Tamandua tetradactyla: one gene and its partners. The protein of the gene in region 1 interacts with the protein of each later gene in a pairwise test. Links are inferred from orthologs where the notes say so. Each region holds a gene or a part of one and is shown on either strand. Other genes may lie near its edges. The genes, in order: STK16, RPIA, MIIP and KCTD14.

Region 1 (8,019 bases):
AAGAATATCAAGAATTCTCCACTTGGGGAAGTTGAATTTTCCCTCTTTCTCACCATTCCCCCAAGAGATTCTGCAAATACTTTTTTACTCACTGTTGGTGCCCCTTTTATAGCTCACCTGGGGCTTTGCGGGATGCTGAGTTGGTTCTGTACCGCCAGGGCCACACTGTCACCTTTCTGGAACACCATGTCATAAGGACCTTCCCCAAACATCATGGCATACAGCACACAGCCTAGGGACTGAGCACCACTTGGTTATTCCCTAGAATGGACCAATGAAGGTGATATCCCTTCTTTACTAGTGTAGAGAAAGGAGCTGCATAAGTCAAAAAAGAATACGCCAACCTCAGCCACATGGCACCACCATGGCCCAGAGAAACTGTCAGTTAGCTGGAAGCCTCTGCATTCCTTGTCTAGTTACTGCCTTCAGTTCTGGTACTTAGCTGTATCCACCCTGTTCAGGGGCAGGGATTATATCACTTCCTGAACAACTGAGTATGGTATCACTGACAGTTCCCAGGAAGGAAGTCAAGGGGGGATGGGGACATACCAGGGTTCCTGAGGCCCCATGTGGTAGAAACCAAAGACGTATTCCTCTACCACCAGTGGGTACAGAGCAGCATTCTACCCCTGCCCAGATTTCTACCCACATGCTCCTTACCCAGACGTCAGTCCGTTCATCGATGACACAGTGGCTTTGCACAGAGAAGAGCTCTGGAGCCCGATAGGAGATGGTGCATCGCTGGGCTGCCCAGTCCTGGAACAGTGGCCCCAGAGCCCAAAAGTGAGGCACAGGTCACGGTCCAGTGCTAAATTGGGGTATATATCAAAAAGGGCTGGGGATAGGGAACACATGGGCAAAGGAACCAGGAGACTCTCACCTGTAGGGCCAGAGCCTGGCGGGAGCTGTCCACCTGAATGCATGCCTGATTCATGGAACCCAAGTCCATTAAAATTGGCTGCCCCTCGTCTCCAAGCAAGATGTTGGTGGGCTTCAGGTCTCTATAAGGAAGTGGAAATGAATTGTGACCACCCCTGGACAGGGAGGCTGGACCCCTAGAGAGCAAAAGAATCATGGGGCTGTTTCTCAGGAAAACAGAGACCTCCCATTTCTCCTGGTAAGGCTCTTCCCCTCTGCCCCAGCAGGTACACAGGGTCTTCCCACTAACCTGTGGGCATAACCCTTGGCATGAATGGCTTCGAGGCCTCTGCAGATACCCAGCAGCAACAGCAGGATTTGATCCTCAGTCAAGAACTTGCCTTTGTCCTTCAGCCTTTCTATCTCATTCCACAGCGTACCTCTCTGTAACACAGTTTTCCCCGCAGTTGGAAATGACTTCCAAGTTCTCTGCTCCCAGGACATGACCCTTTCCCTATGCCAAAGCCTATCAACCCCTTCTCCACATACACCTCAAACCCTCACAGTACCACCTGGGTTCCTCTAAAACCCAAATCTGAAGTGGCTAAAGTCTGAACATGGCCCCAGCTTCCTAACATGTTTGATTGCTCACACAGCCCTTGGCAGGTGGCTCTGTTGAAACCCCTCCATAACTAGGAGTCCTTCTGACCTTGAAGAAGGGTAGCAGCAGCCAGGCCTCTTGTTTAGAGCCCCGTTCTTTCAGACAGTAAGCCACGAGGTGAAGGATGTTGGGGTGATGGAAGAGGCGATGCATGTCTGCTTCTCGCTGGGCCTCCTCTCGGTCCTGCTGCTCATGACACAGGATTCGCTTCAGGGCGTAGAAGCGTCCATCATGTAACCCCTCCACTAGGTCCACATAGCTGAACCCACTGTGGGCCAAAGGGTCAGTGAAGGACCACGGTCATCTCCCACACTGCCTGAACCCAGAGGGGATTCCCTGGGAAGAGGAAGGGGGTGTATTTCTCTTTTAGTAGCAACCCTCCCAAGATGTGGCTCTAAGAGACATCTCAAGGCTATTACACTTTGAGCCTCCCAAGAGCAGAGATATGACCACCTTTAGGTCCTGTGGTCATAACGTGCTCTGTACATGAAGATGCTCAATAACAAGGAAATGAAAAATAGTCAACATTTACCAACTGCTTATGCACCAGGCCCTGCACTAGACATTTTACAAGCATCATCTTATTTAATCCTCACAACTCTATCAGTGAGGCATGATAACTGTCCCCCACTAGGCAAACAAAGAAACCATGGCTTACCAAGGCCACACAAGGTGGATCTAGGAGGCCTGACTCCAGAATCCACTTTCTTGATGACCATATGGCTAGGCCCTGTCAGGTGAGTTAGAGGATGGGGATAAAGCTTTTGTACCCTTATCACGAGCGAACTGGTGTTCCTCATCCACCATCACTCTGGGAGTCAAGAAACTGATTTTCAAGCACTTACCCCTCCCCCAGTTTCTGGATGAAGAGGTAGCGCTTATTGTCAATGATGACAGTGCCCCGAGAGCAGACACACAGTGCGTGGCCCATAGTGTCTCAATCATCCTCCTCAAGGACGGTCTGAGGCTGCCGAAGGGTTCATCAAGGGTAAATGGGTTTTTCCAGGCGATATGCAGGGGGTCCAGCGAATCATGCTGGAAGGAATAGAACGGCAGGGTCGCGGGCCCGGCACAGTACAAGTGGCCCCGAATTAACAACGCGGAGAGTCCAAGTCCAGGGACCTATATTCCCATTTGAGGAAATGGGACCTGGCAACGCTAGCTCCAAGAAGACGGCGGTGAGGAGCTTTAAAACATCAGACCACGCAGCAGTTACCAGGCCGCTTCCTCCAAATCGTATCTACTTTTAGACAGCCCCCACTCCCACGCCCTTCGGGCGCGAAGTCAGAGTACCGAGTAGTTACGGGGGAGGTGCGAGCCTGACGCCCACCCCTTACAGGACCCAGCCCCAACTCTGCATAGGCTGCTAGTCGCGACTCCCCACTGACCTGGCCCGGGCAGGAGCTCCAGAGTCCGGAAGCAGTGGTTGCATCATCAGTCCGCGCGGGCGTAACGGCCGGCGGTATCCTAGCAACGGCTGGGTACCCGGAAGATGTGGAGGCGCCGAGCTGAGAGGCCTGTGGCGGGCTAGACCTGGGGGAGGACGGGTCCCAAGACCCGGGAGAGGGTCCCCACCTGGCCTTCAGTAGGGGTCAAGACGCAGGCACCTGCGTCAAAGGGGAGCAAAGCCGGGCCCAGCCCTAGGTTCCCCAGGACCTCCTTCTCCCAATGCCCGAGGTAGGAGACCTGAAATGTCCGGCGTGCTGGGACCAGAGAGCTGCAGAAGCGCAGGGAGGGGTGGGTGCTGGAGTGCTGGATTCCTGGAACTCTGATAACAATTCAGCCTCTGGGGACTGTATCTCACTACCCTAGTCTTAGTGATTAAGAGAGCTCAGACTTTGGAACCACACTGTCAGGATCCAAATCCGGATTTAATAGCCTACTAGCTGTGTCACCTCAGGCAAGTTACTTAACCCCTCTCAAGCCTCTCTTTACTAGCTCTAAAATAGGTATAGTAGGACCCAAGGTTAACTGCATGATCCGTGAGGCCAAACTGCCCAGTTCAAATCTCAGCTCTACTAAACTAGTTATTTGACCTTGGACAGTTTACTTAATATTTCTGTCCCTCAGTTTCCTCCTCTGTAATACTGGAATGATAATTATTTACCTTAGAGAATTATCTGAGGATAAAGTGAGATGTCAGTTCTTTAGCACAATATCTGACACAAAGCTCTCAATAAGTGTCAATAAACAATAATAATAATACTAAGTATCCTGGGCCTCACATCCTAGGCTTGGAAATTCCCAAATTCCAAAATCTTAGCACCACGCAGTTGTCCCTGACATCTTTAGCAGGCAGGGATAAGAAGATGAAATGGCCTGGATGGGCCCTTTTGCTGAAACAGCCCCCTCCAAGAAAAAGATCCCTTGTGTAATCTGCTTTCCCCCATTCATATGCCCAGTCATCAGGAAGATTTTCCTACGATTTCCCTTGGTTCTGGCATTCACTCATCTAGATTAACCTGCTATGTGCTGGACTCTGTGCTTAAAGCTGAAGAACAAGGCACTCCCTGCCCTCAGGGTGCTCAGTATAGTAGAGAGGTGCTTCTCAATCTAGAATGTACAGAGGATCGCCTGGGGATCTTGTTAAAATACAAATCCTGATTCCATAGGTCTGAGGTTGGACCTGATAGTCTGCCTTTCTAACAAGCTCCCTGGTGACGCTGATGAAGCTGGTTTGTGGGCTACACTTTTAAGTAGCAAGATATAGAGAACTTTACGATCCACTATAGTGGCGGGTGGCTGCAAGGTTGGAAACAAAGTCTAGGCTAACCGCCTGGCAATTTGGGGTGGTCTCCGCCCCCTTGCTCGCTGAAGTTCCCTCCCAGGAATCCGCCACGTGACGGTCGGATCGCCGTCTCAGACTAGAGGAGCCCTGTAAGCGCCATGGCTCCCAAGAAGCCGCCCTGTCTTCCCTCCCTGCTACTGCCGCTCCTGATGCTGCTGCGGGCCCAGGTAAGTCTGGAGTGTTGAACTCTCCCGCCTGGTGCGGTGAGGCAGGATCAGACCGGGCAGATGAAGAGAAAGTAAAAGTAATAACAAGACAATGGGCGGGGCTAATTCCATCTTCCCCGCTCTGGGCAGACGCTGACCCCCACTCCAGATGTCTGCTAAGCACCATCTCACCTTCGCTTTGCAGGTAGAGACTCGGTCGTTCGTAGTGGATCTGTATAATGACAGGTTCCTCCTTGACGGGGTCCCGTTCCGTTACGTGTCTGGAAGCATGCACTATTTTCGGGTACCGCGGGTGCTTTGGGCAGACCGACTATTAAAGATGCGAATGAGCGGCCTCAATGCTGTACAGTTGTAAGAAGTGCTTGTGACAGCCGTGGAGGGGCGGGATTTACTCTCCATACTGCTTCCTTAGGAATGGGGTTGGGCAAGAAGACAAACTCAATATAGAGTGGTTGGGACTCCTGGGCTCCCAGGTAAAGATTGGGAAAGGACAGACAAGGACCACCTTCCAGCTGCATCCTGGAGTTTCCTGCAGGGCCTGGGCTCTTAGGTTTCCCTGGCATCTCCCCACCTTGGGCCCTGTTAAACTCTTCCTTCCTCAGTTACGTGCCCTGGAACTATCATGAGCCAGAGCCTGGGGTCTATAACTTTAATGGCAGCCGGGACCTCTTTGCGTTTTTGCATGAGACTGCTCTAGCGAACCTGTTCGTCATCCTGAGACCAGGACCTTACATCTGTGCAGAGTGGGAGATGGTGAGTTAGTTGGAGAAGGGATAAAATCAAACCTCCATGTGCAGTTCCTAGACTACTGCCATTTGTCTACGCTCTAGGGCCACTTCCAGCACTACATTCAATTTCTTACCTCCTCCACTTCACCGCAGAACAAAACCTACACTCTTCTTTGTTGTTTTTTTTGTCTATCTCAGGGAGGTCTCCCATCCTGGTTGCTTCGAAACCCTAAAATTCATCTGAGAACCTCAGATCCAGGTGAGTTGAAGCAAAAGATTTAACACAGAGAAAAGCAAACAACAAAACGTGAGTCACTTGGGTTCCAGAAACAGGAAACACTATGCCCAAATTGGAGATCATTCATTCAACTATTTATTGTTTCCTACTTGTCCAGCAGGATGCTAGAAACTGGCACAACAGACAGACCCAGTTCCTATGAAATGGACCTTATAAAATAGTGGAGACAGGTTTTTAGAAATTAAACCTATAAATAAATTAATCACAAGCTGTAAAATTACCACATGAGAAAACAGACAGTTGAGATAGCCTATAACAGAGAAGTAGGGTAGTCAGGAAAGGCTTATATGAGAAAGAAACATTTCACTTGACCTCAGGGAAGGGAAGTCACTGGTCATGTGAAGAGTGAGATGAAAACATCCACGTAGAGGGTACAGTGTATGTTCTAAGGCCCAAGATGAGAAAGAACATGATTGAATAACTGAAAAGGCAGAATGGCTGGAGCATAGTGGGTGAAGGAGAGCATAGTATAACATGACATTGGAGAAAGGTAGAGACAATTGATGCAGGACCTTGTAGATCACAATAAAGGGTTTGAGTTTTAAGTACAGTAGAAAGCTATTGGTATGGCATGATCTGATTTATTAGCTCTGATGGGGAGAATGAATTGAGGAAGTAAGATAGAGGTGAAGAACCTAATTGGGAGACTCTGATTGAAGTTGAGGAGAGAGACGGTGGTAGCCAGTATTAAGGTGATGATGGTGGAGATGAAAAGAAAGGGCAGAATTGGGAGATAGTTTGGTAAGAAAAATCATCAGGACTTGTTGATGGATTTTGATTGGAAGGTGGAGGGTCGGAAAGAAAGGAATCAAGTTTCTGGCCAGTCAGGATGGTGGTACCATTAACTGACATAGGGAAGACAGAGAAGACTAGTGGTGGCAGAGGAACAACTTTGAAGAGAAAAACAGTGGTTCTGTTCTGGTCATGTTAAATTTTCATTATCTGTGGCATAGTCAAGTGAGGATATTAAATAAGCAATAGGATGTGTGGGTTTGGAACTTAGGGAAGAAGTTTGAGCTAGAGAGATAAATTTGGGAGTCATCAGTCTGCAGATAGCATTTAAATCCCATGAGATCTCACCTGGGGAGTAAGTGTAGCGAGAGAAAAGATGAGAATTCAGGATTAAGCTCTGAGAATGCTCAGTATTTCAAGGAGTTTGGATTTCATTCTGCATGAAAATAGGAAGTCATAAGAGCAAGGGAATGACTGATTTGATTTTACCTTTTTAGAAGATCACTCTGGCAAAATACCTTAAATCTGCTGGGAACTCTCCAGGGGCTGCTTTACTTCCTTGAGTGTTGGCGTGCTTTATGCTCACCAAAGCATTTTCCAAACTCAGTTGTCCATAAAATACATTGTAAATGATCAAGGATTGATGGAGTACGAACAAGAGATCTGTTTTTCTCAACAAAACCATGACCTCTACATCACTAAATCCATGGTGATCTTTTAGGCCTTATGCTTCCTGACCAAGCAGCAGCATCAGCACAGGTGATCAGTCTGTCCTTTGAAGTACTCTTCTCTTAGCTTTCATGATATCACACTTATCTTGTCTCTCCCACTCCCCTCCATCTTTCTGACCACTCCATAGACTCTTTTTCTCCATTTCGCATACAGCTGAATGCTGGATTATTCCAGGGCCCAGTCCTTGGACCCTTCCCTTTTCTAGAAATAAATCATTCCCAGATGCTCTCATTTATTTTCATCACTTTAAATTTAATTACTGTGTATCTCCAGTCTTTTCCCCTGACTTTTATCCAACTCCCTACTTGACTTCTCCACTTGGAAATCTGAAAGGCTTAATGATACAACTAAGCTCTTGATATCGCTTCCCCAAATCAGCTCTTCCTACAATCAACTCATATCAGATAGTAACAACTCCATTTACTGATTGGTCAGGCTTATGCCTTTCTCTCACACCTCACATTTATTCCATCAGAAAAGCCTGTCAGCTGTATCCTCAGAATACTTTCAGAATTCAACTACATTTAATCACTCCCATTGCCATCAGCCTGGTCCAAACCACCTCTCTCACCTGGATTATTTTAATAGCTTCTTAACTGGTTTCCCTTGTTTTGCCCCACCCCCACCCTCCATGTAGCATGTTCTCAGCACAGCAGCCAGTATAACACTGTTAATGTTTAAATACGTATCTTAGTTCATACCACTTCTCCATTCGACTTGCCAATAGGTTTCTATCTCTTCAGAATACGAGCCATGGATTCCTTAAAATGATCTACAAGGCCCTATATAATTGACCCCAGTTACTTCCTAACATCCTGTCTTCTCCTTCTTGTTCACAGGGCACCAGCCACAAAGGCCTGTCATACTTGAGGCCTTTGCACGTGGTGCTCCCTTTATCTTCCTGTAGAAACCAACTTCTCAGTGAGGCCATCCCTGACCACCCTCTATGAAATTTAAGCCCCCTCCCCTACAACATTTTATATCCTCTGTCCTTTTTTTCTATCCTTGGTCCTAACATCCTGTATATTTTTTAATCTGCCTCCCCTACTAGAAAA
Region 2 (6,902 bases), on another chromosome or scaffold:
ACATTAGGTGATTTTTAGGGATCCATTATTTTATGCATGATTTTTTTTGTAAACCTACAACTTCTCTAATAAGGGGGAAAAAACTCAAACTACTAAATAAATCAGACAATGGTGTGAGCAGTTATGAGCCATGGAGGCAAGGAACCTCTAGAAGCAGGAGAAAGTGCAGGAACATAGTGTCTCCAGAGGAATGCAACCCTGAGGACATCTTTATTTTTGCCCAGTGAGATATTTCACGCTCTGGCCTCCAGAACTATCAGATTATAAAATTGTGCTATTAGTTTGCACGTAATTTGTTACAGGCATAGTAGGAAACTAAAATTTCATGTATATGAAGGAATTAAGATACAATAAAAGTAGCATTTCAAGTAACAGGTAAAGAACCTATTAGTCAATAGATAGTAAGACAGTTAGCTATTAATCTAATTAAAAAAAATAAAGTCAGATTTCTACCATTCGCAAAATTAAAGTCCAGATGGAGTAAAAGCCTTAACACACAAAAGTATTGGAAGAAAATATGGGAGAATATGTTCATGACTTTGGCAAAGAAATTAGTGATGATTACAATATTAAAATATAAAATGTTTGTATATAAAGCACACTATAAACAAAGTCAAAAGACCAGCAAAAAATGGGAGAAATATATTTGTATTTTTATATTTTATATTAAAAAAATATTTGTTGTTCTCTAACCTTTACTTAGAGAATACTTTGTATGTAGAGAATACAAACTATTTTCTAATTAAAAAAAATTGTTTCCAGACATTGCCAAATATCCCCTGAGGGACCAAATCACTCCCATTTAACAATCCCTATTTTAAAAATATCAAAAGGCAGTATATTAGTTTTCCTGGCAGCTAAAACAAATACCATACAATAGGTCGGCTCAAACATATAAACAAACAAAATTATTGGCTCATGGTTTTGAGGCTAGAAGTCTACAATGATGGAAAAATAATGTTTTCAACAAGGCAATGTTCTCTCCCAGAAGACTGTCATTCTGGGGCTGCCTGCCCTGATCCTTGGTTCTTGGCTTTTCCGTCATTTGGCCATGTCTTGTTTCACCCCTGGATTCTGGGTCCTACTTGTGGCTTTTTCTAAGTCTGAATTTTATTCTGCTTTAAGGAACTCCAGTAATCCAGATTAAAACCCAAACTGATTCAGTTGGCCGCACCTTAACTAAAAATAACACCAGACTGTGGATCAAGACCAACAGCATGTCCAAAGTGGGGTGCACAAATAATCCACCACTGGTAGCTTGACGTATATCTAAGGAATGATCTGCATAGCCCTAAGGAATTGTTCTATACGCATTTTCTTCAGGACCATGGGCTTGGTCAGCCATCAATAAGACTTGGTTTTGATAAAGCAAGCAGCATTATGCTGCTTTCCAGTGATAAGTACAGAGTAAGGCTATAACACTAAAATGTTAACCACGACTCATTCTGATCATTAGGCTCACCAGGAATAATAAGGCCCCAGGCTCTCCCAAGGCCTTAATGGTTGGTCAAAATTATTAGTAGACAATAAACCAGCCCTCACGGAACAAAAGGGCACATGTTGAGGCTCCAAAAGATTATTCCAAGGGTATGGGGTGGGGGTGGGGTAGCTTGAGTTTGTTTCTAAGTTGGTCTAGGTGCTGAATAAACGGGTAATTCAAGCTCTAGCCTGAAGTGAATTTGAGCCAGCACCACTTCAATCTCTCCCAAGATGCTCAAATCCATCCCAACATCTGCTTTGCAGCTTCCTACCGTTTTACCTGTGAATCACCTTCAAAATCAACACTTTGGAGGACAGAAAGAGGGAAGGGAGAGTGAAAGGAGGTGGGAAAGCAGGAAGTGACAGAGTGGGAGAGAGTGAACCTAAGCAATTTGGTCTGTAGTATAATGCTGTAAAACATTCTTTCTCAAATCCTCTCCCAAGAGGTGGGGCAAGACTTCTGATATTCTGATAGACAAGCTAATGAGGGGATAACTATATTGGGAAGGAGGGTTAAAAGGGGGAAGGAATGAAGACATGAATGTGGACAGAGAGAAGGGAGACAAGAAGAAATGAGAAACAAAGTAGCCCAAACAGGTGGACCTTTGTAGGACATTACTCACTTGTGAAGTATTGAGCCATGCACTGTGCATCCTATGGGGAACTGCCTCAAGGGACTGTAGTCCTTTGAGTGAGAAAATCAAGTGAACAGAGCAAGATAATAATGGCAGAGTACAAGGTGTCTGGGGGCACATAGGGAGTACCCAACCCAACGATGGCAGGGTTCATGTTTGCAATGTAGTAACTGAGTGGAGTCTCCAAGAACTCCGGGAGCAAGAAAGGTGTACAGGGTGTGCAAAGACATGGAAGTAAGAGCACAGGTTGTGGAGACGGAAATTCTATATGGCTGAAGGTACAGTGTGGAATAGAGGCATAAAATCTATTTATTATTGCATCATGCCTTAGACATTTATTGAGTGCCATCTACATGTCAGTGTTTAAGGGGACTGAAAGATGCAGTAGGTAAAAGAGAAAAAACCATCTCAGAGATGCTTTTAAAGAGGGAGATAGATGATAAGCAAGTACAAAACCAAAGAAGTGAACAAGGACAGTTTTAGGATAGGTAAAGTGGTAGAGGCTAGGTGGGTGCCCTAATTTAGATGGAGTGGTCAGGAAGATTTCCTTAAGGAAGTGTCAATTTAGCTGCGCCTGACCCACAGGAAGAAGCTGGCAGTGCAAAGATGTGCGGTGGGTGGGGGGGGTGGGGGGGTTGTAAGAAGAGCATTTCAGGTGGTGGGAAGTCCTAGTGAAAGGCTCGGAGGCTAGAGGGTAAAGACTGGACACTAACACTTGATCTACCAACCTCTTCGTATGTGTGCTAAGGACCCAGGGTGCCTGAACGGGGAAAAGACTGGCACCAAGGGCTTTCAGCAAGGTCAAAAGTTTCAACTCTGCAGGGACCCACAGAAGTAGGGTCCAGATATTTTATCCTGCTAATCTCTGAATTCCACCTAAAAGTCAAGAATTTAAACATCGCCTCAAAGAATTTTTCCTTCTGCAGACCAAAGTGGACGACCTGGGGCTGACAGCACAGTAAAGAAAACTGAGGCAATGAGGGCGGCGACAGCGGTCCATACTGGACAAGAGTATGAAGGCGAGTTCATGGGATTTCACCAACAAGGACCAGCAGTACAAAGGCAGAGTCACGTGCTTTTAAGGACCTCCAAGTGGTCGGTATGGTTGCGGAAGCATCAATTTCCTCGCTTGTAAAATAGGGACGGTAACAATTTCCCACCCTTAACTATTTCCTAAGCATCTTAACGATAGAGGAGAGAGAGTTGTTAAATTCAGTTAGTTCTCGAGTCTCCAAGGACTGCAAGTCACACTTGTACTTATGGGCCAACTCCACCAGGGCGAAGCACGCCATGCAACGTCTACGGCAGGAGATTCGGAACATGTGGTCCTGCGCCTGCCGGGTCTGAGGACGGATTTCAGCCGGCGCTGGGGCCTAAGAGCGTCTCCAAATGAGCCACTGCCCTGAGGTCTCGACCACGACAGGTCTTCAGTGCTGGGAAAGCTAATGTGTCCGCTCCAACACGCCTGTCCGCACGGGCGCACAGATCAGAGAGATGCATCCAACAACAAACATATCTTCCCAGGAGAAAGGCAGGCACGACGCTCAGACCACAGCCATCAGGGTCGCACTGCCCGCCTCGGAAGCCGGCAACCGGCGAACTGCGCACCAGCCGCGGAGCACCGTGGGGCTGGTAGTTCCGGTGAGAGCGCGGCTACGGACCGCGGGGCCCCGAGAACTACATTTCCCGGGGAGCCCGGCGCGGCAGTGGGAGCGGGCTATGCGCATGGGCAGACACTGGGCGAGCCAGGGCGGGATCGCGGCGGAGGCGGGAGCTCGGCGTCGGGATGCAGCGCCCCGGGCCCTTCAGCACCCTCTACGGGCGGGTCTTGGCCCCGCTGCCCGGGCGGGCCGGGGGCGCGGCCTCGGGCGGAGGCGCGAGCAGCTGGGGCGCCCCGGGCTTCCACGTGCATCCACTGGGACGCGCGGACTCCCGGCCTCACGGCGGCGCGGGCAGTCCGGGTGCTCGTGGCAGGGGCGGTGGTGGTCGCGTCTTCTCTGCCCCTTCCACGATGTCCAAAGCCGAGGAGGCCAAAAGGCTGGCGGGTCGCGCGGCTGTGGAGAACCACGTGAGGGTGAGCCGCGCGGGGCGCCTGCTCCCAGCTCGGTGGGCTCGTCGTGCGCTCCCTGGGCACGGCCGTTGCACGTGCGCGGGGAGGGGGCGTGCGGTGTCTTCCCCAGCTCTTAGATGTATCGTGGGTTGGGGGCGAGCTCCCCAGAAGTTGAGCTCGCTGAAGGCTCCGTGTTCAGGCCGGCCAACAGTTTGTGAAGTGGAACCTGGTGGTGTCGGGTCTCTGGGACGCGGGCTAGAAGGGACTGGCCGCCTGGGTCAGCAAAGGAAAATGGTCGTATTCTGGGGCTGCCGGCAAGCCTGCGGACGGCTGGCTCGCGAGTCTTTGAAGTTCTTCTTAGTCGATTCCCCGCGTGGCACGTGCCGGCCGGCAGAACCAAGGCTGGAGACCCGGCGCTCGGGCGCTCGAACCTCCCTCCTTGACCCGGCGGGCCCGTGAGGTCTGGCGGGTGCTCTCCCTCAGAGTGAGGTTGTTAGGTGTGAGATCCAGGTGCTGTTAGTGGCGTCTTTCAGCCCGGGTGGATTTATCACCAATTAAGTTAATTATAGTACTTTGCAGCCAAATGGAGTACCTGTGCCCTGTAGTGGCGTTTTTCCTGGCCGTTTTGGCTTTCTCTCACCCCCTGTTTTACTTAGAAAGTGGTACTGGGTTCCCTTGTCTCCCGTAATGATAGTTCTTTACATTTGTCAGCGCTTTGCTGTGTAAAGTGGTTTAGTATTGGGTAAAGCTTGAGCGTTGAAATAGCTTAAGCGGAAAGAACCAGTGTGGTAACCTGTGGAGTGGCCGAAGGTCCCGGAGACCTCAAACGGAGTGACTCCCGTACCTTCGCCTTTCTGGTGTAGCTTATGGCATTCCTGGTTAGTGAGAGGATTTTTTAGGAGAATTCACAGAGATAATGTAATATTTATAATCTGGCCCTCTGTTTGGCTTCATGGCCTCGGATAATAAACTGAAATTTCAGAAGGTTTTGGATACCTTGAATTGGTAGTAGACAGATAAATGAAATCTCTTGGAAGAGAAGCCCTAAGTCTTAAGCTTTCCAGATAACCTGTTTATATTAATATTTGGTGGCATATGCTTCCAGGATCATTGTTTTATAGCTATGTGTTTGGTTAAATGAAAAAACTGCAAGCTGCCTCCTCAGACTAGAACCAGGAAACACTTGCATCTCACCCCACCCCAGTTGTACCCAGTTTCCCTGCCAGCTTCTTTCCTGAGGTACCAAGATCAGCTGAGTTTTGTATGTTCTGCTCTTAATCCTTAGAGTTGTAAAATAGGCTAATCAAAGACAAAGGCCCACACCCCTTAGATTCAGGGTGGAGCCTCCAGCAGTTCCTTGAACACATACCCTGTAAGCTCTTGCTCACTTCAGGGTCTTAAATGTTTCCAGACTGTGTTGCAGTCATCTCCAAGATAAGGATAGTAGATCTCTAGGTTTTAAGGGGTTGTCGTGAGGTGTAATTTGTATCAATATTTATAAAACTTCCTGGTAACTGCCTGCTTTTGGTTTCTACTAATTTTGCCTTAGATTAGCAGGAGGTTGTTCCCTGGATGTTGCCTCCGAACTAAACTTCCTGACGGTTGGTTCCTGACCTTGTCTTTCTGTTTGTGATCAGATTGAGCTGTACTTGCTAGTGGTCTGCCTCTTGTCTGCTAATCGGTGTCTTCCTCCTTTCTTATATGGCTCTGCCTTTGTGAGAGGCCTTTCTTTCCCTTTCTACTCAGGAAGTGCTCTGCCCCTGTCATACAGCCTCCCTATATGAGTCTGTAGCTCATGTCCCTAATATGCCTTCCTTCCATGTTCTCTGGGGTGGGCTCTTGCAAAATGGGATCCCCTTGGTCTCGTCTGGGTAGGTGCTGGTGTGCCTGAGTGTATTGAGGTTTACTTCTGTCAACCAAGAAATAACAAACTAAACTTCAAGGCAATAAAGGCATTCATTTGGGGTCTTAGAATTGCAGTTCGGCACAGATTCACGTAGCAACCGAATCCTGGCCCACCTTGGCATTTCCAGGCAAGGGCTTTCACATGGAAAGATTATGCAGGTTGTTTATGGTCAGTGGATATTTGGGGGTACTCCAGCTATCTTTCAGATTAAATAGTTAACTGAATGTAGTGGAGAGGCTGGAGGGAATTGCCTGAAAATGTAGTGCTGTGTTCCAGTAGCCATGCTTCTTGATGATGATTGAACAATGATACAGCTTTCACAATGAGACTCTGTGAATGTGAAAACCTTATGTCCGATGCTCCTTTTAGCTACTATATCAACAGAAGAGTAGAACATATGGAATAAAAAGAAATAATAGGGGGAACAAATGTTAAAATAAATTCAGTTTGCAATAGTGGTAAATGAAAGCGAGGGGTAAGGGGTATGGTACGTATAGTTTTTTTCTCTATTATCATTTTATTTCTTTTTCTGTTGTCTTTTTATTTCTTTTTCCAAATTGATGCAGATGTACTAAGAAATGATGAATATGCAACTGTGTGATGATATTAAGAATTACTGATTGTATATGTAGAATGGAATGATATTTAAATGTTTTGTTTGTTAATTTTTTTTTAATTAATAAAAAAAGTTAAAAAAATAGTTAACTGAATTCTTTATCTTGTGGTTTGTTTATGGTGTTTGGATATCCTTAGGGTTTTCAGGAACATTGTTGCTGGAGGCCTTGCATGCCCTGATATCTGCTTAAGAGTAACCTCCAGAATGACCTCCCAA
Region 3 (7,933 bases), on another chromosome or scaffold:
CCAGATGGCCTCGCTGGGCACAAAAGCCAAGGTCCTCACCCCTGCTTCAGCCCCAGCAGTGTCCAGGCCAGCCACCCCTTCCCCTCCCCTCTCTGGACAAGGAGACCTGGATTCTGATCTGCAGGTAAAGCAGCCCCTTCCCCTGGAGATGCCACCAGTGCCTCCCACCTCAAAGGCTGCCTCAGCCACAGCTTGCCGCACGGCGTCCTGCCCGACCCACAGCTGCCTCAGAAGCTCCAGGTTGAGCTGCCGCAGCTGCACCGTGTCCTCAGCCTCCAGCATCTTCCATATATCGTCCAGCTTCCCACAGGGAACCCTCAGAGCTGGTTCTAGACCCAGTTCTTCTATCTGAAGTTAAGAGAGCATGGTACAGCGCATCAAAGAACTTCATCAAGAAAGTAAAAAGACAACCTACACAATGGGAGACAATATTTGGAAATGACATATCAGATAAAGGTCTAGTATCCAAAATTTATAAAGAGATTGTTCAACTCAACAACAAAAAGACAACCCAATTACAAAATGGGAAAAAGACTTGAACAGACACTTCTCAGAAGAGGAAATACAAATGGCCAAAAGGCACATGAAGAGATGCTCAACTTCCCTGGCCATTAGAGAAATGCAAATCAAAACCACAATGAGATATCATCTCACACCCACCAGAATGACCACTATCAACAAAACAGAAAATGACAAGTGCTGCAGAGGATGTGGAGACAGAGGCACACTTATTCATGGTTGGTGGGAATGTCAAATGGTCCAACTGCTGTGGAAGGCAGTTTGGTGGTTCCTCAAAAAGCTGAATATAGAATTGCCATATGACCCAGCAATACCATTGCTAGGTATCTACTCAAAGGACTTAAGGGCAAAGACACAAACGGACATTTGCACACCAATATTTATAGCAGTGTTATTTACAATTGCAAGGAGATGGAAACAGCCAAAATGTCCATCAACAGACGAGTGGCTAAACAAACTATGGTACATACATACGATGGAATATTTTTTTTTAACTTTTTTTTAAAATTTATTTATTCATTAAAAAATAAGAAACAAAATAAAACAACATACATAATCAGTAATTCACAATATCATCACTTAGTTACATATTCATCATTTCTTAGAACATTTGCATTAATTCAGAAAAAGAGATAAAAAGATAAAAAGACAATAGAAAAAGAAACAAAACGAACACAGGAAAGAAAAAAAAAATTATACCTACCATACCCCTTACCCCTTGCTTTCATTGATCACTAGCATTTAAACTAAATTTATTTTAGCATTTGTTCCCCCTATTATTTATTTTTATTCCATATGTTCTACTTCTTTGTGGACAAGGTAGATAAAAGGAGCATCAGACACAAGGTTTTCACAACATACGATGGAATATTATGCAGCTTTAAGACAGAATAAACTTATGAAGCATGTAATAACATGGATGGACCTTAAGGACATTATGCTGAGTGAGATTAGCCAAAAACAAAAGGACAAATACTGTATGGTCTCACTGATAGGAACTGACATTAGTGAATAAACTTGGACTATTTTGTTGGTAACAGAGACCATCAGGAGGTAGAAATAGGGTAAGATATTGGGTAATTGGAGCTGAATGGATACAGACTGTGCAACAGGACTAAATACAAAAACTCAGAAATGGACAGCACAATACTATCTAACTGTAATATAATTATGTTAAAATACTGAAAAAAAAAAAAAGAGAGAGAGAGAGCATGGCATAGGGTGAGGAATCCCCTCCATGCTTCTCCCTAACTGTGCAGCCTCAGCTACAGGCTAACTATCTAGCCTCTTTGTGCCTCCTGTTTCCTCATCTGCCAAACAGAGATGATAAGTCTCTACCTCATAAGGATCAAATAGGGTAGTTCATGTTAAATTCTTCATACGGTGCCTGGCACATTCAATAAGTGTCTGGCAGGTGCATTTCCTTTACCTACTAAAAGTAACCCCCCTTAACAATCTTAAAATGGAACTATAGCAGCTTAATTTATAGGAAGCAATTAGTACAAGTCTATAAATGCAAAGCATTACAATGTCTGAATCCAGCAGAATCGGGGGACTCTTCCCTCCTTCTGCCCTCCTTTTCCTCTTTCCTTACTTTTTACAGATGAAGAAACTAAGGTTCAGAAAGGCTAAGGAACATGCCCCAAGTGGCCAAGTCAGGATGTGAACCCAAATCTGCCTCCAGGGACCAAGGGCACTCCAGGTTTTCCCTGGCAGTATGGAGAGGCGCCTGGGAAGCCTCTTTCTCCTTCTCCCAGCCTTTGGCTGCCCAGCGATCCAGGATCTCTGTGGAAGGGATTTCTGCAGGGTGGGGGAAGAGGCTTCCCACCTCTCTCCGAACCCCAAGGCCCAAACTCCTACACCCGAAAACCGTTTCCCCCAAAACGCACCGTCCCATATTAATGCTGGGCCGGGTCACACGTCCTGCTGTCGGCCCTCCCGCCGGAGCTGGGGCAGAGGAGTCAGCCAACGACCCCTTTCCTTACACGTGCCCCCGCGGGGGTGGGGGTGGGGGGCGGCGGAGGTGCGAATATAGACGCCTCCGTGGAGGTGCGAACCAGGGGACACAGCCTGATCCGCAGGCGGGGAGTCCAGACCACTACCCTGAACGACCAAGCGACTCCAAGCCGAACCCCTATAGTCCGAGGGTCCCCGTTTTCGCACGGCCTTGGAGGGTCCAGCCGCGCTCAGGAAAACCAAAAACTGCACAAACGCAACGGAAGGTGAGGTTCGAAGAGAAACTGGGGGAGGGAAAGAGGCAGTGCCTGGGGACGCAGGGGCAGGACCCGGAGAAGAAACCCTCCCTCTCGTTCCCCATGGCCGCCCGAACCATCCGGGCGGGCGCACGCGGGTCCGACCGCGGAGCCCCACCTCCTCATTCCCCGGCCCCGCCGGTCCCGCACTCACAACCCGGAAGCCGGGACAGCGCCGCCCGCCGCAGCAGATAACGCGGTGAGCCCGAGCGTGGGCGGGGCCTCGCATTAGCGGCCCTGATTGGCCAGATGTGGAGGCGGGGCCGGTCGCTCCAGACAGCGTTACTCCGCGTTCCGAAGCGGCAGTTTCAACAGCGGGGCGGGATAAACAGCTGGGCTCAACAGCCGATTGGTCAGCTTCGGTGGCTGCGTACAGAGGGTCGGTTTTCGAAACGGGGCGGGAGCCCGGAAGGCGGGCTCCGATTGGTTCTGCCCGAGGCCGGCGGCTACGGCACGTTCAAGAGCGATAGGTTCGTGGGCCGGTGCGGCGTTGGTGTCCAGGCTGGCGGGTGGGAACCGGCGGGGCGAGCTGGAGACCTCATCTTTTATTCGTCTGTTCACGTATTTATCGAGTTCCCTGCTGTGTGCCGACTATGCATCCATTCTTTAAAGGGAGATTGATTGGGCATCTAGTCTGAAGGTCTGGGAGGCGGAGAAGAACCAAGAGGTGTTCCTGACGGGGGCGGGCGGAGGCGGGGGTGGGACTTGAACCTGAACACCTGTGATCCAGCCTGTAGAATATGCGCCAGCTTACACGGAGAGCCCCTGTGCCAATGCATCCTCTCCTTAGAAACCAAGCTTTGCGAAGAGTGATGCTGTCGCCATTTAGAGCCGAAAAACAAACAAAAATCTCGAGGCTGGGAGAAATACCAAAGTGACTTGCCCAGAAACCCACAGCCATTAAATACTAGAGAAAGAACTAATTAGACCTCAGTTTTTTAAGAAAATAAAATTTAGATCTACTCTCACCCCTCTCTGCCTCTTAGACAATAAACAGGGTCAGCTCCTGCACGGTTCAAGGATGGAGGTAAAGCCTTGCTTACAGAATCAAAGGGATTGCAGGACTTGACTAATACGTAACATCAAGAAAAAAAGAAGCAGGAAAATTGACGTGGGAATACACTTGGAGGATGCTGGGGGTGGGGTGGGGTGGTATCAAATTTAAATCTGAATACAGAATTATTGCCACGGGGCACACATCCATGACTTGGGATCCAGTGTTCTGACTAGGACACCTGAACAGGCGGCAGGAATCTGCTGAGACGGCCCCAGGCAGCTTGCACGTGGTGATGGTTTACAGTAAATCGGGTGCAGATGCCAGCGCTTCCTTGGCATAGGACTGGGGAAAGGGTCAGAAGTCTCAGGGTAGTAGGGATGTAAGAACAGTTTTACCAGGTACATTCTGAGAACCTACCAACCGACTGTGTTTTCAGGAAGGTCCAAAGAACATTCCCTTTAAGGCAGGCAAAAAGAAATAACTTGATAAGGGGATCCTGGCAACTTTGAGAAGCTCACTGGTGGCTGCTGTAGAGGTTGGGATTGATGGGGACAGATGCTGTCGTGGCACTGGCCTCCCTAGGATCAGTGAGATGATGAGATTTGGGAATGGCAGAGGCCAAGAGCCATCACATAACTGCCAGAGGCAGGATAGACTTTATAAGAGGTTGCAGGGCTGGAGTGGCAGTGAGAGTCTCTTAACTTACAGTTATCTGTGACAGTGATTAGATGATGAAGTTCCTAGGAGTCAGATAGATGGACAGTCAACATGATATGGCTCAACTTGAAAAATGTTAAAACAGAAGGTTGACTTCATCTACAGGGTGGAAAATCATGGTTCCTCATCCAGTGCCCAAATTCAACTCAGTTCTCAGACTGAGCTCATTCATTGAAGGGAAGGTTGGTTTCCTTGAGAAAGGAACGTGCAATACCACCACAGGTACCTATAGAAAATATTCCTGCAGGGGGGCCAGTGGCCATTTGCCAGAAAAATGTACAATGGGAAAAGTGGACTACTCAGAATTTCCAAAGACCCTAAGGTATAGAGTCTGAGCTGACACTGATTCCAGGAGACCTGAAACACCATCGTGGCCCTCCAGCTGGAGTGGAAGCTTATGGAGGCCAGGAGGTAAATGGAGTTTGGACTCAAGTCCATCTCTATGGGTCCGGTGGGTTTCAGGACTTGCTCTGTGTGATGGTTTGAAAGGATGTGTGTACCCTAGAAAAGCCATCTTTTAATCCTAATCCCATTTTGTAAAGGCAGCCGTTTCTTCTAATCCCTATTTAGTAGTGTATATTTGAAACTGTAATTAGGTCATCTCCCTGGAGATGTGACTCAATCAAGAGTGGTTGTTAAAATGTTAAAATAAATTTAGATTGAAATGCTAGTGATCAATGAAAGGGAGGGGTAAGGGGTATGGTATGTATGAATTTTTTTCTGTTGTCTTTTTCTTTTTCTGAATTGATGCAAATGTTCTAAGAAATGATAATGATGATGAAATGCAACTATGTGATGATATTGTGAATTATTGATTATATATGTAGAACAGAATGATCATAAGTTAAGAATGTTTGCATTTGTTTGTTGTTATATTTTTAAAAAAATTAAACACTTAATAAAAAAAAAAGAGTGGTTGTTAAGATGGATTACCAGCTTGGGTGGGTCTTGATTAGCTTACTGGAATCCTATAAAAGAGAATGACAAGAGAGAAAGCCAAGAGATTCAGCAAGAGCAGAGAATGCTGCAGCACCATGAAGCAGAGTCCGCCAGCCAGTGGAGATGAAGGAGGAAAACGCCTCCCAGGGAGCTTCATGAAACAGGAAGCCAGGAGAAGAAGCTAGCAGATCATGACATGTTCACCATGTGCCCTTCCAGATGTGAGAGGAACCCTGACTGTGTTCACCATGTGCCTTCTCACTTGAGAGAGAAACCCTGAACTTCATCGGCCTTCTTGAATCAAGGTATCTTTCCCTGCATGTCTTTGATTGGACGTTTCTATAGACTTGTTTTAACTGGGACATTTTCTCAGCCTTAGAACTGTAAACTAGCAACTTATTAAATTCCCCTTTTCAAAAGCCATTCCGGCAGCTAGCAAACTAGAACACTCTGTGACTGTTTCCCAGTTCCCATAGGCATAGATGGGGTGGCTAGCCTGAGCAGCTGGCGGAACCTTCATATTTGTTCCCTGATCTGTGGAGTAAGGGCCATTATGGCAGGCAATTCAGTTATCTATCACTGCGCTAAAAATCTCCCCAAAACTTAATTACTTCAAACAACACAGATTTATTATGTCACAGGTGGACCGACTGGGACTCAGCTGAGTAGCTTTTCTGGTCTCTCCTGAGCTCAATCGTGTGGCTGCCTCCAGCTGGGAGCTCGGCTGGGGCTGGGATATCCAAGTTGTCCTCCCATCTTCCTGGGTCTCTCTCCACCTGGCTTGTTTCAGTAGTCTAGCCCATCCTTCCTCCACGGGGGCTGGATCCCAAGAGCACGGAAGCAGAGCTTCCAGACCTTTGTAAGTCTCAGGCTCAGAATGGGCACAGAGTCACTTCCCTCACTTTCTGTTGCTCTAAGCAAGTTACCAAGGCGGTCTAGATTCAAAGCTAGAGTTGAAATGGAATCCACCTCTTTAATCTATTGCAGGTAGGGAGGGGAAGTAGAACCCCCTGAAGCTTTTTCCCTCTTCCTGCTCTGAGTTGTGAAGGGTATGGGGGGTGCTGGCCCACATCCTGTCCTCCCTCATTTCACCTGCTTGACCCTGCAAAACACAGCCGCATGGCTCATAGACCACAGCAGGCAGTGGTCCCAGTGTGGAGGCCAGATGTGGACTCTTTACTGGAGCAGAACAGCGCAGCCTTTGGCCCTGGATTTGCAGCTATAATGCTAAGGGATGCTCTCTTTTCAGTTGCCCTCAGCGGGGAGGAGTCAAATTGATTTCCATTCCCAAGGCAAATACTGTGGTGTGCGCTCACAGTCCTGACTCAGGGCCATAAAACCCTCCGACTTTGTTTCACAATCTAATCTATTTAGGACCTTGAGTGCTGCTGGCCTCATGAAACTGATAACATCAAGCTAATTAGATTTAGTGAATAGGATGTAGCAACTACCCTAGGTGTTCCTAGGAAGACTTAGAGGCCAGATGGCTGTGAGTAAATCCCATGATTTTTACGTGTAGTGTCTAGAACGTGTTGCAACAGCCCTCCAACGTCAAAGATTGTGGCACCTTCCCCCTCCAATTACTAAGAAAAAGAGAAGTGCTTAGTGAATGTCTTTGACTCTGAAGATAACATGTTTCTCTTGGGAAAAATCTTATGACCCTTTCTGGAGTGACACAGCTGCCAGTTTGAATAGAATCTGGAGCAAGAAGGGACTCATGAAAGCTGGTGCTAGAGGTATTCATGGCAGATAAAGATGCAGCATGGAGTCTCTGACAAGCCTCAGTAAGAGAGTTGCAACACAGACCCCCTAGGTTCTGGATAAAAGCCATATCTTCTGTTATATATGGCTGCTCTGCTTGAAAAAAAAACAAAACAGCTGTGGCATGCTACTGAGCCCTTAGGTAGCCAGAACACCTGAACACAGAACACCAAATGACTCTGGCACTGCAGTGAGCTGGTATTGTCAGAGTTACTAAGACTTATGGTCAGGCTGGGTATAAGAGACCATTGGGTGGTAGAAATGGAATGGCATACTCAGGATCGGGTCTGACCCGGTCCAAAAGGCACAAGTAAATTACTTGAATAGGTCGCCCAGGCTCCCATGTCACCTGCCACCGCTGCAGGAGTGTCTCTCCTTCAGGTCGCACCTGTGGACTTGTACTTCCTTCTGACCACCTCATGGATGAGAAGAGAACTCGGGCACGAAGATGTCTTTACTGGTATGTTATACCAAACATTAAAGAAGAAATAATGCCAATTCTACACAAACTCTGCCATACAATTGAAGAGGAAGGAATACTTCCTAACTCATTTTATGAAGCCAGCACTACCCTGCTGATACCAAAGATCCCTGAGAGTCAAATATATTACAAGAAATGAAAGCTACATGCCAATAGATGCAAAAATTCTTAACATTTTAGCAAAAATGTGCCGGTTTGAAAATAGTAGATACACCCCCGAAAAGCCATATTTTAATCCTGATTCAATCTTGTGGAGGCAGCAATTTC
Region 4 (7,346 bases), on another chromosome or scaffold:
TTGCGTTTCCATGGCAACAGCTCCTACCAGGGGACCGTTCTGCTGGCTGGAGGGGAGAAGGGAGAAGGGGAAAGGATGCATCCTGACAGCAGCCAAACAATATAGCCATGAAGAAAATAAGCTCAGGGCTGTGTAGCTTGCTGTTTCTCCCATAAAGCTCAAGGTCCCTTGACAAGATTGTTTGGTTAACCCTGAGATCACCTCTGTAAGGCAAGCAGTTAAATGCAAAGTACCAGATTTTAACCTTTGAATGGATCGATGTGGTCTCAGCATTTCTATCCCATGGAAGGCTCACCGGCTCTCAGGCTCACCCGCTCTCTAGACGTTCCCTTAATACAGATGAGGAAAGCTCTGAGAGAAGAAGTGATTTGTCCAGGGTCACACAGCTAGGAAGTGATGAAGTTGGAGCTGGGATCAAGCCCATATCAGTCTGATTTGGAGCTCCAATGCAGCATGGGGTGCTATCTTACACCCACCGCTTCTAACATCCAATCCCAATTCTGCAATAGTTTGTGGCGTGCCTGGGGAAGTTCACTTTCCCTCTCTGGGGCTAAGCTTCTTCATCTGTGAAATGGGGAGAAGTGGACCAGAAGAACTCTAAGTCGCTTCAGCTCTGAAAGTCCAACAAATAAAAATCACTTCAAATATCCTTTTTGAAGCTAATTTCCGAGGCTTTGCAAAATAGCTTCCTGCCCTGGCGTCCTCAGCTCTATTTCTTTGTTTATCAAACAAGACCTTAGCTCTGTTCCCAAGCTTCTTAATTCTGCCCCTCTTCCCTCCTTTTATCCCCAAACTCCCAATCTGTTTGCAAATCCCAGACCTCCTCTCGCACCCATAAGTACTGCAGTATGTTTCTAGCAGATGAAGACTTCTTTTCCGTCCTTCTTCGGGACCACCTGTCCTTCCTCACGGACCCTCTTACCCACCTTTACACCTGCACACTGCTAAAGCATTCCTGGATGGGAAAGCCTGTCCAGGCCCTGCACTCTTCAGGATTTCTGTCTATGGGTTGGGGGAGGATCTGCTGGATAACTGAAAGGCACTTCTCCCAGGACATTTATTCCACAACCTCAGAAATGAGCTCCTGCTTGATGACAGGTCAGAGCTAGCTATGAGGACACAGGATTGAATAAAATAGGCCAGCTTCCCCTAGATGCAATCTAAAGGGTCTGCACCACCTGCCCCAAACTTTCATACGCTTCCTTAGGTCATCCTCAACTAGGGTCAATGCAGGGACACCTCCACCCAGATATCCAACAAGCTCTTTAGAATCTCTCCCCACCCCACAACCCTAATCTCTTGCATTGTTCTCTATCTCAGTTGCCAGGGCCAGAAACAGAGGCATAATCTTGCTTTTCACTCCTGCCCTCGACCTCTCCCTGCACAATCAATCACCAAGTTTTGGTGATTCTATTTGCCTGGTCAGTTCCAAGTCTCCCTGCCCCCTCTAGGGCCCTCCCCCAATCCATTTTTCACTCTGAAACCAGAGTACCCTTTCCGAAGTGCAAATCTGATCCTGTCACTCCCTGCATTACGTGCTTCAGTGACTCTTCATTCCCTTCCAGATAAATTTCAAACTCCTTAACAGGGTTTATAGTGCCCTTTGCTTCCACCTGCAGCAATCAGCTGCCAGAACCACAAGCTGCCACCCGCCAGCCCCCAGGCCCCATCATGCTGAGTAGGCTGGGCCCCTTGGCCTCCAGAACTTCACTGCCTGCCACCCACGCTCCCTCCCTTCACTTAGCCCACTCATCCTTCAAGTTAATTCCTCGTACAATCTTTCTGGATGGCTCATCTCCTTTGTGATCCCAGAAGGTTACTACTATCATGGAGATATTTCTCTCATAATTCCCTGTTTGTTCATCTGTGTCCTCATTAGAATGCGAGATTCTTCAAGGCAAGGCCTACCCTGGATTCATCATTATGTCACCAGTTCCTGCTACAGAGCTCAGCACACAGGGGATGCTCAATAAATGTTTGTTAAATTGAATTGAGCTTACCCTTAGCCCTGATTTATGGGAACACTTGGCGTTCTGATAAAGGCCAATCTTGCTCTGTGCCCAGGGCTGGCTCCCTCTCTGCCTGGCAATTCACTCGGACATTTACTGAGCACCTAGGGCAGTCCTGGCACTAAGCGGGCAACTGTCACTAGCCAACAATGACGTTATTATCACCCTACTGGAAAAAAGCCATACTCTCCCTGTTACTGGATCTTCTTTCCCTTCCTCCAGGTCTTCAGGATGGCACTTGGCCCAGGGAAGAATGTTCTGCTCCTAGAGTTCACTGGTCTTTTCCTGATCCTGCCTCCACCCCAAGCCCAGGGAGAGGGCAGGTGAGCAGAGGGACTCAGGACCCAGCCAGCAGGCAGAGGCAGACTGGAGGTGGAGTTGGGAGACGTGATCTGCCTGACCCACAGCGGGATCCTTCTCTCCCACCCGAAGAAGGGGTGACAACAGGAAAGAGGGAGAGGCAGAGCAAGAGAGGTGCAAGAGACAAGCCAGGGGACTAAAAGTGGAGCCACACAGAGAGCAACTGAAAGACCGAGACGAGAGGGAGGAGACAAACAAAGGCAGCTAGGGAAGAAGGAGGGAAAGTAGGAGAGGCTGGAAGATCCGGGAACAGGAAAGGTGATCGACGCGCGAAAGGAGAGATCAAAGTATAAAAGGCAGCTAAGGAGAAAACTAAGCTAAGAAGCTCCCAGCCAGAGGTGGAGACAGAGCTCGCCGGAAGCTGGGGGCTCAGACCCGGGGGAAGGACGGACGGGGGCAAAAAGGAAAGGAATGAAAGAAAACAAAGGCGGCGGGATAGTCCAGGGGATAGGCGCGGGGACAGTGCGGGCCCCTGCCAGCCCGGGGGCGCGCACTCACCGTGGGCGAGCCTGCGGGGGACACCGGTCGGCCGGGCCGCGGGGACCGGAGCGCCGGGGACAGGCTCATCGTCCTGGGGTTTGCAGGGCGCAGCCAGGCCAGCGCCCGGCGTCCCGCCCAGCCGCGCCACGTGCAGGGAACCCGCGGCCGGCGGAAGTGCACCTTGCTCCCCGCCCCGGGGTGGCGGAGGCTTGGGCGCCGGGTGTGCTCACAGCCCCGGGCTAGGCCCGGGCTCCGCCGGGCTTGCGGTGGGACCCTATGCAAGGTACTGGCCTTCTCTGGGCACAGGACGAATCGTCAGTCGAATGGGGGAGGCGGTAGGAATTGGCAATTGGCAATGTCACCCGAGACTTGCCGCGAGGTGAAGGATCAGCAGCACCCATTTTATAGAGGAGAAAAGTGAGACTCGGAAACACACAGCCTACCTTCCAGGGCGGCTGGCAGGAGTGAGACGCAGTGATGAAAAGAGTTGACTCGCCACTGAATTGTATACTTGAAAGTGGTCAAAATGAGAAAAAAATTATGTTGTTTATAATAAAATCTAAAATAAATAAAAATCTAAAGACAAAAACAAAACCGATAAACTGTACAACCCAAAGTGTGAACCCTAATGTAAATTATGGACTTCAGATAATAATATCATTATAATAATATGGATACATTAGTTATATAATAATATGGATTCATCAGTTGTAACAAATGTACCACACAAATGCAAAATGTTAATAAAACTGTGTGGATGGGGGGTGGGGAGGTGGGAACTCTACTTTCTGCATGATTTTTTTGTAAAACTACAACAGCTCTTAAAAAAAACTTAGTATCTCTTCTGTATGGTTATTTATTTTTGACAATATGAAAATCCCCTATTTTCTTTTTTAAGCGCAATTTTATTGAGATATATATTCACATACCGTATAATCATCCAAAGTGTGCAACCAATAGTTCACAGTATCATCATATAGTTGTGCATTCATCACCACAATTTTTGAACATTCTCATTAATCCAAGAAAATTTTTTTCAAATAAAAGAAAACCCAGACCATCCGACCATCCCTTATCCCTTATCTTATTTATTTTTTGTCTTTATTTTCTTACTTATCTATCCATACACCAGATAAAGGGAACGTCAGTCACCATGTTTTCACAATCACACAGTCACACCTTAAAAGCTATATAGTTATACAATTGTCTTCAAGAATCAAGGCTACTGGAATAGCTCAACAGTTTCAGGAATTTCCTCCACTAAGAACTGAAAAGTATATCGATACAGTGCGTAAGAATAACCACCAGAATGACCTCTCAACTGCATTTGAAATATCTCAGCCACTGAAAGTTTATTTTGTTTCCTCTCTCTTCTCCTTTTTGGTCAAGAAGGCTTTCTCACTACCATGATGCAAGGTATATACCGTATATGAAGGGATGAAAATGCCACTTTACTTCTGTGATCTTCCTTCTAAATCCTCAAAACCTAGTCTAACCATGAGAAAACCAGTCTCATCATGAGGAAAACATCAGACATTATATTATATTCCAATATAATGGCATCCTATAAAATACTTAACCAGTATTCCTCAAAACTATCGAGGTCATCAAACACAAGGCAAGTCTGTGTGATTGTGAAAAACTTGGGTCTGACGCTCCTTTTATCTACCTTATCGACAGATAAGTAAAACCTATGGATTAAAAATAAAATAATAGGGGGAACAAATGTTGAAATAAATTTAGTAGATTGAAATGCTAGTGATCAATGAAAGGGAGGGTTAAGGGGTCTGGTATGTATGAATTTTTTTTCTGTTTTCTTTTTCTTTCTTTTTCTGAATTGATTCAAATGTTCTAAGAAATGATCATGATGATGAATATACAACTATGTGATAATATTGTGAGTTACTGATTATATAACAAGAATGGAATGATCATATGGTAAGAATGTTTGTGTTTGTATGTTGGTATGTTTAATAAATTTTTTTTAAAAATTAAAAAAAAAACACAAGGCAAGTCTGAGAAACTGTCACAGCTAAAAGGAGCCTGATGACACGTGAAAACTAAATGTAAAGTTGTGTCCTGAATGGGATCTTGGAACAGAAAATGGACATATTAGCTCATTATTGTAACAAATGTACTAATCTAATGGAAGATATGAACAACAGGGAAAAGTGAGTGCAGGGTTTATGGGAACTCTTTGTACTATTTTCCCAATTTTTCTGTAAATCTAAAAATGTTTTTTTAAAAAGTCTATAAAAGTTTGACAGTTTAAAAATGAAACAACATAACCAACTGATATATGATAAAAAAATAAATGAAAAATAAATTTTAAAAAGATAAGGCTTGGGAGTGAGACAAATCGAGGATGGACTCCTGGCCCTGCCACTTACCTGCTGTGTGACCATCTGTTACTCCACCTCTCTGAGCATAAATTGCCTCTTTTGTAAAATACATGTGAAAGTACTTATTTTCCTAGGTTCCTGTGAGGATTAAATTAAGTGAAATAATCTATGGTGTTTCCCAGACTTTTCTGATAGTAATATTTGCCTGAGGTGCTCGTTAGACATCGTTCCTGGACCTAACTCCAGCTACTGAAACCGAATCTCCAAGGGAGGGGCCTGCAGTTTTTAATGTTTTACTTCGAAATAATTTCAAACTAACAGGACAGTTGCAAAACTAATATAAACCTGATACAGAGAACTCCAACATACATTCAGATATCCAGATCCACAAGTTTAACATTTTACTACCTTTGCATATCATTCTATTATCTATTTCCTGAATATTTGAGAGCATTTTGCAGACATCACAATCCTTGAATACATAATACTTCCATGTACATTTCTTACAAATGTACATGGTTCAGTTATGTAACCCCTTAAGTGCAATTATCAAGTTCAAGAAATGTAACACTGATATAAAGCTTGCTTTCTGTATTCCATTTTTCCTTATGTTTCAGTAATGTGTCCTTCTTAGCCTTTTACCCCCATTCTTAGATCCCATCCGGTATTATGTGTTTATTTAAGTGTCATTATCTCTTTAGTTGTTCTTTCTTTTTGTTTAATTGTGGGCAATCCCTGTCCCTCTCCGGGCCCCAATTTCTCTACCTATACATGGTGGAGGTTGGGTGTTGTCTGAGATGGTCCCTGCAATTCCCCTTCTGCTTGATGCTATGGCAACAATAGAATTCAAACCGCTCCTTGAAGTCGCCAACAAAATGGATCTTGTTTCCCCTTGGCCTTATTCCAAGAGCAAGCACTGCTTCCCTTTGCCTTCCTCCCCTCACCTCTCTCTTTGTTCTTCTGGCGGAGACAAAACTGCCAGCCCCTCTCTTCTCTAGGCAGCTGGGCTTTGAGCCAGCCAGCTAAGTGGCAGATGTGACTCAGATGAAAGGGCCCTCAGAAGGCTGCCTGTGGCAAAGTGCCCAGCCCAGCCCAACCCAGGCCTGGCAGCCCCGGGCCCAGCTGTCCCACGCGGCATGCTGCCCACAGCTCCCACACAAGGCTCCCTTTGTGAGTCCCACGGCAGGGGAGACCTCTGCCAATCCTCAAAGACCCTCTTCCCTTCCCTTTGCTCCACACCCACTTAAGAAATATCCAGGTCTTTAGAAAATGGTCCAGGGACTGAACCAAACTGGACTGACATCGTGCCAGGCACTTTGGAGAATTGTATCCCATTTAATTTCCAGAACAACGCTGGTGGATATTGTCACCACCACCAACAACAACAGATATTGTCATTTCCTTCTAGGGAGGAGGAAAACAGATACCTGAATACCTACTACGTGTCCATCATGGTGCTGGGTCCTGGGACAGACCTGTGAACCAGAGTCCAAGAACCCGACCTGGCGGAGCTCACTGGAGCAGGGACACAGACTTTAATCAAATGACAAGACAAATAACTAATCCGTTACACGGTGTGATCAGTGCATTGAGAGGAAAGAGCAGAGAACGATCACATCCATCATGGTGGACCTGTTAGTGGCGAGCAATCGAAGGCTGGGTGGGGCTCCTCTAAGGGTCGGGAGGGCAGCGCAGGGGAGTTGAGGAACTGGGAAGGTGAAGTCCTGGACAGGAGAGAAGGAAGAGTGTCTGCTTTGACCACCTTTAGCTGCAGGCAGCCTCTTGATGGGAAAAGCCACATTGGAAACTCCAAACAATCTAGGGCCTCAGTAACAAATTAGTGTGTGTCCTTCACCCTGCCCAGCCTCCCTCTGGAAATTCTGTATTTAGGAGCAAGTCCCTTTACCTCTGGAAGCCTCACATTTGTCACCCATAATGCCCCTGCAGAGTTTCAGGGAGGAATCCAGGAGGCACTGTTACAGTTGGTGCCAGACACAGCCCAGGTACAAGAATGCCCATCCCTGGAGACCTTTATGGGGCAGGAAGTATGGTGGGCTTCCTTTTGAAGTCCTCCACCTGATTAGACCCCAGATCCAGCAAGCTCCCCTCTGAAGGGAGGTGGCAGCAGGAGCTTCTGGGTCAAGATTAGAACCCA

What was found.
Region 2: the proteins of STK16 (region 1) and RPIA interact in binary tests that used the Homo sapiens proteins (3 or more experiments, as listed by UniProt). The two-hybrid records come from large-scale screens. The link is inferred for Tamandua tetradactyla from reciprocal best matches to the Homo sapiens genes STK16 and RPIA.
Region 3: the proteins of STK16 (region 1) and MIIP interact in binary tests that used the Homo sapiens proteins (3 or more experiments, as listed by UniProt). The two-hybrid records come from large-scale screens. The link is inferred for Tamandua tetradactyla from reciprocal best matches to the Homo sapiens genes STK16 and MIIP.
Region 4: the proteins of STK16 (region 1) and KCTD14 interact in binary tests that used the Homo sapiens proteins (3 or more experiments, as listed by UniProt). The link is inferred for Tamandua tetradactyla from reciprocal best matches to the Homo sapiens genes STK16 and KCTD14.

Annotation. Positions count from the first base shown.
Region 1 is NC_135329.1:194,982,174-194,990,192, reverse strand, and holds the start of STK16 (serine/threonine-protein kinase 16), read right to left. Parts: upstream 3,013-8,019; 5' UTR 2,908-3,012; intron 2,555-2,907; 5' UTR 2,451-2,554; coding exon 2,365-2,450; intron 1,788-2,364; coding exon 1,568-1,787; intron 1,303-1,567; coding exon 1,169-1,302; intron 1,002-1,168; coding exon 881-1,001; intron 757-880; coding exon 661-756; intron 240-660; coding exon 118-239; intron 1-117. Other genes in the region: GLB1L (beta-galactosidase-1-like protein), read left to right, coding at 4,406-4,474, 4,659-4,825, 5,077-5,227, 5,401-5,461. UniProt on the Homo sapiens protein: Membrane-associated protein kinase that phosphorylates on serine and threonine residues. In vitro substrates include DRG1, ENO1 and EIF4EBP1. Also autophosphorylates. May be involved in secretory vesicle trafficking or intracellular signaling.
Region 2 is NC_135343.1:62,580,941-62,587,842, forward strand, and holds the start of RPIA (ribose-5-phosphate isomerase), read left to right. Parts: upstream 1-3,900; coding exon 3,901-4,188; intron 4,189-6,902. UniProt on the Homo sapiens protein: Catalyzes the reversible conversion of ribose-5-phosphate to ribulose 5-phosphate and participates in the first step of the non-oxidative branch of the pentose phosphate pathway.
Region 3 is NC_135328.1:213,403,187-213,411,119, forward strand, and holds the start of MIIP (migration and invasion-inhibitory protein), read right to left. Parts: upstream 3,002-7,933; 5' UTR 3,001-3,001; coding exon 2,890-3,000; intron 2,490-2,889; exon of another isoform or gene 2,409-2,489; intron 349-2,408; coding exon 169-348; intron 1-168.
Region 4 is NC_135334.1:66,655,423-66,662,768, reverse strand, and holds the start of KCTD14 (BTB/POZ domain-containing protein KCTD14), read right to left. Parts: upstream 3,004-7,346; 5' UTR 2,937-3,003; coding exon 2,868-2,936; intron 1-2,867.